2 linked regions of the Rhinolophus ferrumequinum genome follow. The protein of the gene in region 1 binds, or shares a complex with, the protein of each later gene. Links are inferred from orthologs where the notes say so. Each region holds a gene or a part of one and is shown in the gene's direction. Other genes may lie near its edges.

The links.
Region 2: the proteins of JAML (region 1) and CXADR are in contact, whole or in part, in a crystal structure (PDB 3MJ7), measured with the Mus musculus proteins. The link is inferred for Rhinolophus ferrumequinum from reciprocal best matches to the Homo sapiens genes JAML and CXADR. Residues at the interface, in NP_001005421.3 of Mus musculus: Arg57, Asp59, Ala69, Tyr72, Phe75, Tyr77, Leu80, Val82, Glu120, Arg122, Ser127, Met128, Val129, Met130, Lys131; in NP_001020363.1 of Mus musculus: Thr23, Gly51, Pro52, Asp54, Glu56, Leu58, Ser60, Gln65, Ile66, Val67, Asp68, Gln69, Val70, Leu73, Tyr83, Lys121, Lys123, Lys124, Ala125, Pro126, Gly127, Val128, Asn130.

Annotation. Positions count from the first base shown.
Region 1 is NC_046294.1:87,587,259-87,594,759, reverse strand, and holds the start of JAML (junctional adhesion molecule-like), read left to right. Parts: upstream 1-4,414; 5' UTR 4,415-5,148; intron 5,149-5,263; 5' UTR 5,264-5,387; intron 5,388-7,501. Other genes in the region: MPZL3 (myelin protein zero-like protein 3), read left to right, coding at 1,478-1,504. UniProt on the Homo sapiens protein: Transmembrane protein of the plasma membrane of leukocytes that control their migration and activation through interaction with CXADR, a plasma membrane receptor found on adjacent epithelial and endothelial cells.
Region 2 is NC_046285.1:87,474,293-87,482,282, forward strand, and holds the start of CXADR (coxsackievirus and adenovirus receptor), read left to right. Parts: upstream 1-4,924; 5' UTR 4,925-5,095; coding exon 5,096-5,138; intron 5,139-7,990. UniProt on the Homo sapiens protein: Component of the epithelial apical junction complex that may function as a homophilic cell adhesion molecule and is essential for tight junction integrity.

The DNA of each region.
Region 1 (7,501 bases):
TTTTCATTTTGTTGATGGTTTCCTTTGCTGTGAAAAAACTTTTTAGTTTGATGTAGTCCCATTTATTTATTTTTTTCTTTTGTTTCCCTTCCCCAAGGAGATACAGCAATAAAAATATTACTAAGGGTAATGTCTGAGAATTTATTGCCTATGTTTTCTTCCAGGAGTGTTATGGTTTCAGGTCTTACATTTAAGTCTTTAATCAATTTTGAATTCATTGTTGTATATGGAGTAAGAAGGTGGTCCAGTTTCATTTTTTTGCATGTGTCTGTCTAGTTTTCCCAGCACCATTTATTGAATAGACTCTCTTACCCCAATGTACATTCTTGCTTCCTTTGTCATAGATTAAATGACCATATAGGCATGGATTTATTTCTGGGCTGTCTATTCTGTTCCACTGATCTATGTGTCTGTTTTTATGCTAATACCATGCTATTTTTATTACTATGGCCTTGTAGTATATTTTAATATCAGGTAGCATGCTACCTCTAGCTTTGTTCTTTTTCCTCAAGATGGCTATGCTATTCGGGGTCTTTTATGGTTCTATATACATTTTAGGATTATTTGTTAGTTCTGTGAAAAATGCCATTGGTATTTTGATAGGGATTGCATTGAATCTATAGATTGCTTTGGGTAATAAGGGCATTTAAACTATATTAATTCTTCCTATTCATGAGCATGGTATATACTTCCATTTATTTGTATCATCTTTAATTTTTTCTTTAATCAATGTCTTGTAATTTTCTGAGAAGACATTTATTTTTAATGAAACAGAATCCACTGGAGGTTTTTGACAAGAGAAGCACTATGAACTGATGTATGTGTTAAAAGGATCATTTTAGCTTCTGTGTTGAAAATAGACGGTAAGGGACCTTGAGAGAATCAGAGAACTCAATTAGGAGACTTTAGCAATAATGCCATTGAGAGAAGTTAGTGTTAGTTTGGATCAGGGTGGTGGTGGTAGAGGTGGGAAGATGGGGTTGTATTCTGATTATAGTTTGAAGGTAAAGCCAGAAGGATTTACTGATGGGTTGCATGTATATGAGTATGTTAAAGAATGAGAGGAGTTTCGGGCGGCCGGTTGGCTCAGTTGGTTAGAGCGCAGCCCTTGTGACACCAACGTCGCCGGTTCAATTCCCACGTGGGCCAGTGAGCTGTTCCCTCCACAAATAGAGTGAAAACAACGGCTTGACTTGGAGCTGAGCTGCTGGTGGGTGGCCGGTTGGCTCAATTGGTTAGACTGCAGTGCTCATAACATCAAGGTTGCTGGTTTGATCAACTAGATTGAAAACAACGACCTGACTTGGAGCTGATGGGTCCTGGGAAAACACACTGTTCTCCAATATTCCCCAATAAATGTGTAATGTGGGATGTATAAAATGGGATGGTAATGTGTGACTTTTGGCTAAATTCTGACTGTGGCAATATACTTCACATATACATCACATACACACAACTACTGTTCTTTCTCCTCCAGGATTCAGACTATGAAGAGACATACTGATGAAAATCTGCGTGACATTAGAAGAATCACCTACTAACAGAAAATATCTCATTCCACTGGCAGCTAAATCTTCTCAAAGAAGTGGAGCTGGCCTGGACAGTAATGATGGAGGTTTCTGAAAGTCATAAGTAAAGACTTTAGGAACCATTTATTTATTGAAGAAATGTTCTTTTTGTATTAATAAACTGTTCAAAAGCTTTCAGAGGAGACTCATACCTATCCCTTTTAATAACTTATACTCTAATTGAATGAAGGCATTCTTTTCCTGAACAGAAAGATACTTTTTATTTGATCTTTGCTCTTGAATGTATTACATGTTTTCTTCCAATTATTTGAGGAAGAATTGGCCACACTTCTGATGCCAAACTTATTATTATTATTTTTTTTAATGAAATGGAGCTTGTAGCTTCTTGATGTGCTTGCTACCGGATAAAATGTTTGGAATAAGGATTCTTAGTTTTTTTGCTCCGTGAACATTTTCATCTGTGAGTTAGCACACAGCATATATTCATTGGTTTGATTATCTCATTGATTATGTTCGAGTTTCTTGGAGTGTATAACACTAGTTTCCTTAGAGCTGGTAGGATCAAGAATCAGTGGTTTGCTTTGATTGGGTTTTTAAAGTATTAAAGTGTCATCAATTTACAACTAAGGAAAGGAAGTGTGAGGTACAGGTGCAATTTGCCAGGTGCAATTTGTTACTTTACTTTCTTAAAGCTAACTGATTAATGGTTTCCTTCTTGACTTTTCAGATCAGAGGCAAGAACTTTTCAAAAGGTTTTGTATGGATATATAGACTATTTTACTAATTATTTGCAGTGAAATGCTTTTTTAACCTGTGTTATTCTTCAGAAATTTTTTGACTCTAAAATGTACCAAATATCAGTGAACTGAGGTATTTACAAACTGTTTTTGCATAACACTTGAGATAAGGAAGTGATGTTGTGCATCACCTATACTTTTCCTTTCTGGTCTCTCAATACTTTATATCAGTTTCCTCTATTTTCCTACAGCAACCTATTTCAAATTTTGATTTATATGGGAATTTCTATAAGCCATTAAGAAATATATATGACATGTCAGGAAGGGTTGACAATGTAGTCCTCTGTACTAGAGTGATAAAGTTCACTTCTCAATTATGAGAGACAAAAGTTATTCCCTCCCCCCAGCTTTGTTTTTTCAGTAGGATAGTCCCTTTTCATGGATCTTCACTAGGTGGCTCAGGAGGTTTCCATATTACAGCATTATACATTGTATATGTTATTAAAAAACAACTTTTACATTTTTTTGCCAACATCTATTTTTAAAAATTTGGGTTGTTAGCTCTGTCTCATGGATTTGCCCTGGCCTCTTTTAACCTAGTCTGTAGATTAGAGATTCTGATTAGTTAATAGACATGACTTACCTCTAGTCATGGAAAAAAGTAGAAGAGGCACGACAGGATTGGCAGTTTACATTTCCAGTGGTTAAACCTCACAGTCTTGGGCTACTTGTTAAGTATGTGGTTGTCTGGCGTCAATCTTTTGGGCCAATCTGGCACCTCAACAGAGACAAGAAAGCAGTTTGAGCGACGACAATAAATAAATTGGGTGCTAGGAGATTTGAAGATAGAGATCTAATTGTGAAGCAGAGTTTTTTTGGGTCCCCATTTATCTGAGAAAGCGATGAAGTTACGGGAAGCCAGTGAAAGCCACATCCCATTAAATGGGGAAACAGTTTTAGCTAGGTTTGCTTGTAATTTCCTTTCGGGCATGTTTTGAGGATTAATACTGTGTGGTATGTTTGTCACTTTAGGCATATGGTGCTGTGTGAATCCTTAGTAGTGTAATTTTGTAGACTTGATCATGATTTGAACCAGTCCTTTTAAAATGACTGAACAATAGAGTCCTTCATGGGAGGAGACTAAGTTGATAATTTAGTCTTGCTCCGTGGGTTTGTGTTCACGTCACAGTCATAAGGCTGCTATCAGTTTTCTTCTTCATCGCTTATGTTGAGCTCTTCTTCTTCTTCAAAGGAGCACAAAGCTGTGTTTGGACACCTGCTTTCTTGAAGGATGGAAGGAAGATAAAGTGTGTGTGTGTTTTTTAACCGTCTGTTTTAATATCTTCTAAGGTGCTATTCTCTATTTTTCTTTTCGCTGCTCCACGAGTTCTTATCACACTGTATGGAGACCAGCCTTGTCTAGAAAGGGAATTTAATTCTGAAGGCTTCAGAAGGGCTTAAAAGCCTTTCAGAATATTTCTTCGACTGCTGAAGTCTTTACTCATGGTTACATTACTTTATGAGTTTTGTGCATCGAGCTCTTAATTCTGTTACCAAATGTGAACTTTCAAAATGCTTTGTGTTTCCCACGTGGCCTGTTACCTCAGGCTTCTTTGGGAACAGCTTCTCTGCAGATCCCAAATTGGGCACTGGTGCTTTACAAGGGAACGTTGCATGTCCCTGCTTTAAAAAAATTCTGGAGGCCAAATCCTGATTCTGAATGCTCTGTTGTGTCACTCAGTTATGGTTTCATCGGGGAGCCATAAAAAGATCCATAGGGAATGGACCAAGACTATCATTTAATTGCACAACTCAAAACTTGCTGCCAGAAAAGGCAGCTTTGGTCTTTTGACCCCAGTGTTGTACTGCTCGATTGTTAATTGCTGCGTTTCACTGCGTTCTTTTTGTTTTTTTTTTCTAGGAGGATATGCACTGTTGGGCCATGTTCACAAGCATTGTAACTCTTGATATTTTTACCATAACATACTTAATAAACATCTTTGCACTTTCTGGCTACTTTTGGTGTATATCTACCTATAAGATGAGAACTGTCATATGAAAAGAGGTTTGTGGTTTTCAGCATCAAGCAACCATCTATTCATCTTGGAGCTGTACCCCAGCAAGAACCTGCATAGATTCAGTAGTGTACTGGAGCCAGATCACACAGCAAGAGCTCATTGTTAAATATTTAGGAATTTTGCAATTCTTGGTTGTTAAACTGTTGGTAGCTTGCAGTGTGCCATGGTGGGAGTATTTATTTAAATTGCTGGCTTACCAGCACACCGCTTCTCAAGAATCATGGAGCATAGTCTTTGAGAAGAGCAAGCATTCAACAACTTTTCAAATGATACAGGTCAAGTTACAAAAAACAAGCATGCCCATGTGTATGTAGGTCAAGCCAATCCAGCCAAGGTTAGAGGTGTGTACATTGAGAACACTTATTTTGAAGTGGTGACTTAAAAGCCAAAAATACCTTGAAGTGAAGAAGCCTTGAGTTCTTACCTAGGATGTCTAAGTCACCTAAGGGATTCTCTGGGGGAATAAAAATGCTACTTATATTCTGGAAATGCTGATACCATACTGTCAGAGGAAATTGAAATGTCTACGTGATGAGTTGGAGGACTGAGGAGGCATATCTGTGGAAGCAGGAATTGGGGGATTGCCTGGCTCTTATTTTGAAAAATAAGAATGGTTGCTATAGTTTAAACACAGGGTACAATGCTTTGTGTTAATCTTAAATTTACTGTATTTTGTTTGCATGAGGCAGATTTCTTTCTCAGCAAATGTTTGCCTGATGCCCTTGAAGATCCCACTCGCGGAGAGCTTGTACTCCAGAAGGGGAGTTGATACCTGCAGAGGTCTGGAATATGAGGTTCTCCTCAGTAAGTTGGCTTTATTACCTCTTTTTACAATGAAAGTATTAATAAAGATTGGGTAATGGGCCAGATAACTGAAACGAGAACCTAAATTCAGAGGTTCCTGTTTGTGTCTCTGCAGCCACCTCAGAACACACGCATTTGGTTTGCTCTGAGCCTGACCCTGCGCTGGCAGAAGTCTCTGCAGTCGGACTTGAGAACTGCAGTTGTGGGAGAGTTCAGTGCATTGCTTCTCTTCATCTTGGGTAAGCAGTTGCTTTGTATTTCTTAAGTAGTGATTTGAACTTTTCTCTCTTAGAGGAAGGCTGGTTCTGAAAGTGTTAATTTAATGGCAATCCTTTTGTATCGTGAGGCCACAATCACGGAACTCTCGATCTCTGCAGGAGGGCTGTCATAAGGTAGTCTAGTGGGTGCAGTTTTCCTTTCTGTAGTGCAGAGTAACTGGTGATCCTCAGAGAAAAGAGTAAGATTTGCTGTTAATAAAAGAGTAAATGATGATGATGATGAGAAGGCTTTTGCTTTTAACTTGCCTGTGGCTTTAGGTAGAGCTGTGACTAGCTGTCCTTGAACTCATGGCAAGAGTCTTCCTTCGCTGTTTCTCTTCTCCCAATCCTATATAGGCTAATACTTAACCTGAAGAAGTGAGGAACTTAAACCTTCTACTAGAGCAAGGCTATTGTCCATACTTGTCACATCCTCTGCATAACCCTGATCTCAGGAAAGAATGATGTAGAATGGTTCAGGTGTAACCTGGTCAGAAGGAGTGAGAAGGAATACTGACTTCCAAGGTAGTCTTCAAGTAAAGGGTTGAACGATGTGAACTAGACTGTGTTACAAGAAGCCATGTAACCTACCAGTCTGTATTAAATGGTCTTGGAAAGAAAAATGAGGACTTATTTTAAGAAGTTCATGATGCTTCAGAATGGTTATATGGACTTGTATACCTAAAAACATCGCAGACCCCAGAGGTACACAGCCATGTGTAAATTGAGGGAACACAGACAGCACTCTAGGTGGAGCAGGCTGTGTGAGTAAGGGAAGGCTGTGCAGTTGTGTTTGCTCAGTGGTTGGTTGTCATTATTAGGGGCAGACACTTTTCTGAGGCAGCACCTCTCTCTTGTCTTGTAATATTGTGATATGTGGGGGTCATTTTCACATTTTGTGTGGTACTCTCATTGTCAAGAGTCTCTTTTCTGAAGATTTTGTTCTGTGTTTATTGTGCCAAGGATAACAGTTCCCCAACACGATTAATAATAGGAAATCCTGATAGTTACAGCTCCCCAGGAGTGATAGAAGATATTTGCCAGGAATTATGAAAGAGGCATGAGCTCAGGTCAAAACGTTTGGCCAACGTGTGCGATAAATTACTATGTAGAATTATCTCAAGAACATCTGCCGAGGAGATAGTTCAGTACGTAAAGAAGGAAGCAGGGTCGAAGTTGAGAATTCAAGTAGTCTATTATTATCAAGGTGCAGCTGAAATCTTTGATTGTATTTTTAAAGACTGAGATTCATTTTATATACAGTAAGTCCTCACTTAATTTCGTCCATAAGTTTTTGGAAACCGGGACTTTGAAGGAAACAATGTACACCAAAACTGATTTTACCATAGACTAATAGATATAAACGAGGAATTTCTGAATATTTGCCAACTAACTAGGAAATGGAAATTGAAACTTTACTAGAGTGTTTTTGGCCCTGTTAGGTGTTATTAATTCATGTGACAGGTGGTTGCTGGGGCTCAGCCTGCGCCTTACTCCGAGCTGGCACTAGAGATGCAGAGGCATATAGTCAAAGCTCTTGGCCTCATGGAGCTTATAGTCTTGGAGGGGTGAGGGTGGAGAGCAACTTTAATCAAACAAGCACACAAGTAAATAGATAATTAAAAATTGTGTGACCAGTGCCCTAAAGGAAAGGTAAACAGTACTATTAAAACATGTGCCTGGTTGGGCGGCTGGTTGGCTCAGTTGGTTAGAGCGCAGTGCTCATAACACCAAGGTCGCCAGTTCGATTCCCGCATATGCCAGTGTGCTGCACCTTCCGCAACTAGATTGAAAAAAAACATGAAAAACAAGACTTGACTTGGAGCTGATGGGTCCTGGAAAAACACATGTTCCCCAATATTAATAATGTTCCCTAATAAAAATATTAAAAAAAAACCAAAAACATGTGCCTAGGCACCTGACCTAGGAAGGGTGGTTCAGGAGAAGTTTCCCTGAGGAAATGACATTTAACTTGAGATCTAAAAGATGAACAGTGAAAGGGGCAGGCAGACCATTTAGTTAGGGGGAGCAGATTAATCTTGTTTTGACAAATGAAGTTCAGAGAAGCTTTCCCCTAAAACATTGGTTACTTTCAC
Region 2 (7,990 bases), on another chromosome or scaffold:
ATAACTAGGAGATACCCACTTGAGAAGGTCAAATATTACAGGCAGAAGGGAGAGACAGCATCTACAAAGTGGCCGTAGGCATGGGTGGGTAGGGAGTATGGGATGAGCTTAGAGAGGTATGTGAAAGCTAAACTCCTCCGAGTCAAGAAGTATTACCTTCATCATAAACAAAACTGAAGCCCCTGAAGAATATATCTTCATGGGAAGGGAATATATGCTACTGATTATGGTCTAATCCAAAGAAAGGGGGACTTATTCGGAATTCCACCTCTGTCTCTTAAAATACCTTATGAACACGTTAACATCTCCGTGACTCCAGTTTCTTTACCTATTACCAGTTTATCACAATGTGTGTCATCTCGAGCTTTGTAGAGATATCTTAAGGAACAGTGAGTCATAATTGCTGAGTTCTTTGAACTCCTTGGATAAAAGATGTTACACGATCTATAAATGGAAAGCATTGTTATTACCTATCAGATGGAAAGCTGTCTCCAGCCAAAAAGAAACCAGCAAGATATAAAGTAGATGGAGGCTCCATCCACTTCTGTAATATTTAAATTTATTGTCTGGGTATGAATTAAATGGGTTGAATACTAGGTAAGCACAGCATCTTTGATCTAAAATGCCCAGAGCACTGTGCAAGTCATGTATTCTCAAAACAACCTATATGTACGCCACAGACACCAGACATTGTAATTCTTTCTTCCTGAGGATCATGACAGAGTTCAGTTTAATTTTCTTTCTAAAGGTCATCATCAAAGTTAGCGTAAAATCCTAGAAAGAGGATATATGCTCTGGGTTTATTCTACCAGTCCTATTTCTTTATACACAAACGGGCAAACAAAACATCTCAAAGCCAAAATACAAACTATGGAACTGTGGAAACAAAGAAAGAGCTTAAGTAAGACAAGCAATAAATTTTCATGCCTAGGTATGTACCTGTGTCTTTCTTATCTTTAGCACAGGGCAAATTTAGTACTTTGTGGATTGTTTTTGGCCTAAGAAGAAAAGAGAAGAAAAGGAAAGGGACTGGAGATGAAGACACTATAAGAAAGGGGACTTTGGGCAAAAGAGGTGACATAGAGACAGAGATGAGAGGGAAATTTATAAGGTCACTCCTTTCCTTCCCTTTCGGAGGAAAATCTTTAATATTATTAGTATCACCAGAACAACTTAGATTAGGGGAGGAAGGGAGACAAGCAACGCCCAGAGCAATTGATCCAGAGCCTATGAAAACATTTTCATTTCTTTTAGAATCAAAAGAAATAATAATATGATCCAGCCTGGATTAAATTTGCCTTTATACCAACACAGTCGTAAAAGACAGTTTTAAATATTTTTTGAGGTGAAAGAGGTCCACAAAGGCAAAAGTTCATAGGTCCCCTGAAAGTCAAAATGAGACCTTGGAAATGCCCTAATTTAGATATTTTGAGGAAAAGTTGCTGAGGAAATGCCTGACAATTTAATTTTTCTACCCAGATGCTGTTTTTCAAGTGATTCAACAAATTGAGTGGAGCAGCTAAGTGAAAAAACCTGGGGGGTCACCAACGAAGGAAGATGTGGTTTGATTTCTCTGTACAGCTCATAGAACAGGAGTGTTAGAGGGCGATTGAGAAGAGAAGAGAGTGATGGAGCTCATCTGACAGAGAAGAAACGAAGAAGAAAGCAACTGGAAGAAACAAGATTCATTTTTGGATAAGAACGTTTTTGTTTTTTTTTATAAGGAGGGTGCAGCTCAAAGTGGCCCATGTCGGGATCACATCGGCAACCTTGGTGATGAGCACTGCACTCCAACCAACTAAGCTAACCGGCTGCCCCAGATAAGAACATTTTAAAAGACCATCAGTAAAATCCTCAATTTTGGTCCGTATAAATTGATCACTTTTGTCTATTCATTTGGAATCCACATTATTAGGAATTTAAACAAAGTTCTGGGTCACTGGCTAAGGGTTGACTTATAAATATTATATATATGGCATAAAACTATTATAAAAATGTATGTGTTTATAAGTTCATTTCCTTAGCGGCACATAGAAGACTGGGATGGTATCAACCATCCTCCCACCTCAAAAAATATTTAAAACCAATGGTGTTGGTAATATAGGGACACACTCGTGAGGAACCTTCACTCCTTGATACTAGCATTACTATTTTCCAGAAAATATAAAAATCAGCAGTGTCACATATGAAAGAAAGTTTCTTGCTTCACATGCCTTCATATTCCAGGATGATAAGAGGTGAGAATCCTTTAATTCTTAAGTGTAAGTCAATCTCTGAATGTGATTATAGGATTTGAATCATCTGTAGGTGTGTTGAAAAATCCATTACTGCTGAGAAATCTTTGTAAGGACAGATGCTATATTAGCCATAGAATTATTTATGTCTCTACAATTAATTATCACCTTCTTTGAGGGGCCAAGAACCACCTTTCTGCTGGTTTAAAGGCTATATAATGTGGAGTGCTTGGTGTTTTGCCAAGATAGGGCAAGTCATTTAATGATTGTGCACTATTTGTTACCTTGGTTTGAAGATGCCAAACAATCAACAATTTGTACATTCCAGAATTAATGAGATTATTTCATTACAGCTTCCAGGAGACAATTGACAAACTTACAATAGCTACAAAGGCTTTTAAAGGTGTTGTTAAGAAGTTTCAGGGGCAGCCGGATGGCTTAGTTGGATACAGCGCGAGCTGCGCCCCCTGCAACTAAAGATTGAAAACGGCAAATGGACTTCGAGCTGAGCTGTGCCCTCCACAATTCGATTGAAGGACGACTTGGAGCTGATGGGCCCTGGAGAAACACGCTGTTCCCCAATTTAAAAAAAAGGAGATGAATCTCAAAAACATTATTAAAAAAAAAAAGTTTCAGATAACTGCATAATTTTAGCTACTGTTTATATGAAATAATGTAGTCACAACCAAAGTCCAAAGATGACTACATATCACTTTTCCCCATTTTTCCCCCAGCTTTAATATAATTTTTAAAAAAGAATAGTTCCCTAAAAAAGATTAAACTGCTCCTTTCAAAGTTACTTAATTCTTAGAGATGATACATTTGGAAGTATAACCTAAAGAAGCATAAAACCTTAATTTTGTAAAATTTACATTGTTAAAAGTACAGTCTAAAAAGATATATTAAGATGTAATGATTTGGGAGGTACTTTTTTATCAATATATGTCGATATATTAATACATGAATTAAATATTTTACATTCAACAAATACTACAGAATCTACTATGGGTTGCACTTCCAAGAGTGCCTTTTTGGCCTTCTAGAAAGATTAAGAGTAAGAGAAGTGATTGATAGACATGAAAATACCTACCACAGGAGGCAAAATGTAAGGAATGTTAAAAAAAAAAAAGTTCCAGAAGGAAAAGAATTAAGATGAATATCCTTTTAGGAAATTTCTAAAGGTTTCCTCTAATATGTGGTTGAGATGACCCCTGTAGAATGGGTTTAATTTCAACCCAGTGGAAAAGACACTCACGGCAGCAATTTTATAACAAATGTGTGCTACTTTTTAGTGATTAGTACTAGAAAAGTTATCATAAAATAGTCTGAAATAGATATGAACAACTTCAATGCTTAATCTCTAATTTCATAAAGTATAATGTGGTGAGTAAAAATTTAGGTTCCAAATATTTTATATCTTCATTTATATCCAGTAGAATTCCTGTTTCTTCAGCTAATAGGAAGTCCCTAGTGGTTACTCTGAACTCTTCTTAAATCAGCCAGGATTCCACTCTACACAAGTTAAATCAGCATCTCTGGAGTGGGGCTCAGGTAGTGGTATTTTTGCACACTACAAGCTAAATTGCAGTTGGGCAGTTTTGGTTTTCCTGATAACTGATTTTTCTGGTTCAATAAATAAGAATTTTCCAATATTAATTTCATTAGCTTCCACTTTACTATTTACTATTGTGCCAGGCATGGTGCCAACCATTCTTTCCTGCATTATCTCATCTAGTTTTCATAGCTACCCAAGAGGTAGGAGCTGTTTCTAAATAGTTTGCCCAGTTACTGACTCATTTCGGAGCCCAAAAACTTACCCACTGCGTAACGCTGCTTCTCTCCTCTAATTCATGCCTGATATGGAACAGATGGGAAACACAGGTGAATCGGCAGCTATAAATAAACCTACCTGAGCAACTGAGTACACGCAGGGAAATGAAATGAGAACACGTGTGGAGGGCACCAGGAGGAAGAAGGGACATTGCACCCGGTGATTCACGATCTCTAATTCCCCGGTCCCCCAAACCTCCTACCCCAAGCCTTTAAATATCCTCACTTAGCCCCACTTTCCCAGCTCACTGGTCTTTGTTGGCCAATTTCAGGGCCAGAATAACCTTTAAATTCAAGGCGAGGAAAGCCAGTCTGGGTATTGCCCAAGTCCGTAGCGGCAGTTTAGGGGTTCAGTCATTACTGGAAATGAGGAAAAGCATTCTCAAGCCTTCTCCATCAGGCCATCCGACTCAATGAGACCGAAGCAAATGCTGGGGGTTAGTGCCCTTCCCCAGAGCCTTAGGCGGCCGCTCCGAGCAGCGCAGCAAACCCTCACAGGCGGGACGCGTGCTGGAGACGCCCCACCCACTCCTACCCTAAGAGAAGGGAGGGGTGAGCGCGGGCAGCCAAATGCTAGAGCCGCACTTCAGGTCCCTGCGGCAGGCGGACGAGTATTGTCCGCTGGCGCGCCCTGAAGCAAAGGCGTGACCGCAATTTTAGTTGTCTGGAGAGGGGCGGGCCCGACCGTAGTGCACAAACTCTGCTTTAACCGAAGGCATGGGGGCGGGGACGCAGGCTCGGGCTTGGCGCGAGTAGCCGCGGAGAGCCACCGCTCCCAGCACCACACGCCCGCCGAGGAGCTCCCCGCACAGCGACCGGCTCGCGGTTGCCATGGCAACCCCACGCGCCCGCGCGGCCGAGCCACTGCCGGAAGTGACGCGTTTCACCTGCCGAGCGAAGGAGGGCGGGGTGGGGCTGGGGTGCCGAGGTGCCGCAGTTGCCTGCCAGTCGGGAGCGCGCGAGGCGCCGGGAGACAGACCCCGGGCGAGATCCCCCTACCTGCAGTCGCCGCCCACGGCCGCGCCGCCACCATGGGGCTTCTGCTGCTCTTCCTCCTCCTGTGTGGAGTTGCTGGTGAGTGTGAGCAATTCTATCCCTAGTGTCCCCATTGACTGGTCAGACCCGGGGCGCTCGCCGCCTGCGGCCACCCGGGAACAATGAGGCGTGGGGGAGGGGGCGGGCGGGCGGGGAGAGGACGGGTGCGATTTGGGGGCTTTGCGGCTGTCGTGGTTGTGCGGGTGGAATTGTATGGGGTGATTTTGCCCGGCCGGGTGCGCGAGCCGCGAAGGCGGAGCGGCTCGGAAGGGAGCCATGCGGGGGCGTGGGGTGTCCGGGGAGCGGGGGCGGGGGCGGGGGCTGAGCTAGGGACCGAGCCCCGAGATAAGGGGCGGCGGTGGAGGGGCCTCCCCCGCGCGGCGTGCGGGGTGCACCTGGCATCTCCCCCACTCCATTCTTGGCCGCCGGTCCGGGCTTTGCTTTATTTGCTCTTGCTCTTCCCTTGTTAGCCGCGGTGTAGTGTCCGTCCGGGTTTATCCGATTTCAAAAGCCTTGGGCGGCGAGTTTTCAGGTGTCGAGCAGTCCAAGCGAGGAGACCGAATTACAAACGCCATGATTAAATGGACACTGAGCTTTTCAGTGCCTGAGATCGTCCAGGCTACCTCTAGGAAAGAGGCGCTGAAAGAACGGGAAGGCTCCCGCTCCTGGTCTAGTCGGAGAGGCTAGCCCAGGCGCGAGCTGCCAGCTAGACGGTAACTCGGAGTAGACCTTGGGAAATCAAGAGTAGGTGCCTGCAGAAATGCAGTATTGATTTCCGCAGTTCCGGGTGCAAAGTGCGAAGGAGAAATTCGTAACATGGGTTTTGAGTATATAAGGAGGTGGTTCCTTTTGAAGATAAGACGGGATGACGTGTACAGGGTAATTCCTAAAGGATTCTCCAAGCCCATTTTTCCACTGCGCCTTTCTCTGGAGGGAAAAGAAGCCATTTAAAAAAACGCGTGGACCATTAGAAAGCATAATCCTTGGTACTTTAAAAGACTGATCTATTTCCTTGTCAGTTTTTTAACCAACTAATGTTGTTTGTCAGAGTAAGCCCTTGTCTCATTTTTTTACCTAAATGATTCGTTAAAGAAAAAAAAAATCCATAGGTGGGGACCCTAGGAGACACACTTTGTGTATCCTCCGGAAGGATAATTTCTAAAGTGCTCCAAAGCAGGATGAGGTGGCCCTTTCTGTTGGGATGGCTCTCTACTTCCTGTTGAAATGTTAATTCCATTGTTGGATGCCACAGCTGTGAGCATTACTCATGGGATCAACATTCTATTAACAAGTCTAATCTTCGATCTGAGTTTAGAACACTACCTCCACCTTTTTGATACCGTGTTTCCCTGAAAATAAGATGTAGCTGGACCATCAGTTCTAAAGTGTCTTTTGGAGCAAAAATTAATCTAAGACCCAGACTGATATTATATTATATTATACCCAGTCTTATAGTAAAATAAGACCGGGTCTTACATTAATTTTTGCTCCAAAAGACACATTAGAGCTGATGGTCCAGCTACATCTTATTTTGGGGGAAGCCGGTATATATCATTTAGAATGGCTGAAAATTCTGAAGTAAAGCTTCTGGAAAAGATGAAGGATCAGCAGCCAATTTACATGGTACATTCCCATTTTTGTTTTGTCAAGGATGAAACTAAAGTTGAAACTGAGAACACAGTGTTTCTGTTCTCTGTGGGGGAAAAAAGTGTTTTAGGGTACATCTGAATCAGAAAAGTGGAAGAACATAAACCATCTAAAGAAATTTCTTTTTCCGGGGATGTTTGGATACTTGGGTTTTTTTTTTGTTTTTTGTTTTTTTTTTTTTTGGATTCTTCACTTTGGTCTGCACAATCTCACCCAAGGATATACTGATACATGCTAGAGTCATTCTGCCCATAAAGTGTATACAGTAGGGTGCAGCGAACATCTCATTAAACGACTATTGTCTTTAACTAAACAAGACAACTATTTTTCATTTTCCAGCTTAGGAGACAACTTGAAAACTATGTGATTGATGTGTGGATTTGAGTTATTTCTTCAGATACCTCTTGCCAATGTAGAAATTCATTGCTATGACCTCACGTTGAGTGGTTGCATGATTGGCTCCGACAATTGGCAAAACAAGGTGGAGGTTTACATATTTTAAAAATTGCAGTGCTATCAGCAGTAGACCTCCCTCTAATTCTGTCTCTAAAGGAGTTGTAAAGAGTTCTGTGTTACACTCTGGTTGCTGGTGAAACTCCTTTGGATGCGTTTTGATTGCCAACCTCATAGCACGTCATACTATACAGTACTGGTAATGGTAGGGCCAGTTGTCTTAGAGCAGTTGCAATGGTAATAACATTAAAGCCTTGATTGAGCAATTAAATAGGGGTTTTACACATACTCAATCTATCTAGCAACCCTATGTATTATCCCTGTTGTGGGGAAACCGAGGCACAGAGTGGTCGTAGAAGTTGAAAAGGTCACAGATTTCCTCCTTAGTGCTTGCTCTTATAACTATGCTATTCTGCCTCTAAAGCAGCTCCTTTCCTCTGATGACCTCTAATCCACATCCTAAATTTCTATTACTGGTTATCACTCATTTAGTAAGAACCTGCTGTTGGCTTGACTGTGTGCCAAGTATGAAGGCTTTTCATAGCCCTTTAAATTCTTTGTTGACTACTTTCAGGCACTGTGAAAACAAGAGGATCCAGGGCTTAAACTGGTATTGCAGACTAATGTGGCCCATGTACCAGCAGTCTGGGGATCTTGATAAAGTTTGGGGTGCTGCTGTTTTTCACACTGTCAGTGTGAAGGGAACTAAAAGAAGTCCTGGCCAATGACTCTGGTCTCCCAGCCACTTGTTAGCCCTTTGATGGTGGTAGGTCCCTGTCCTCTCTGTGTGC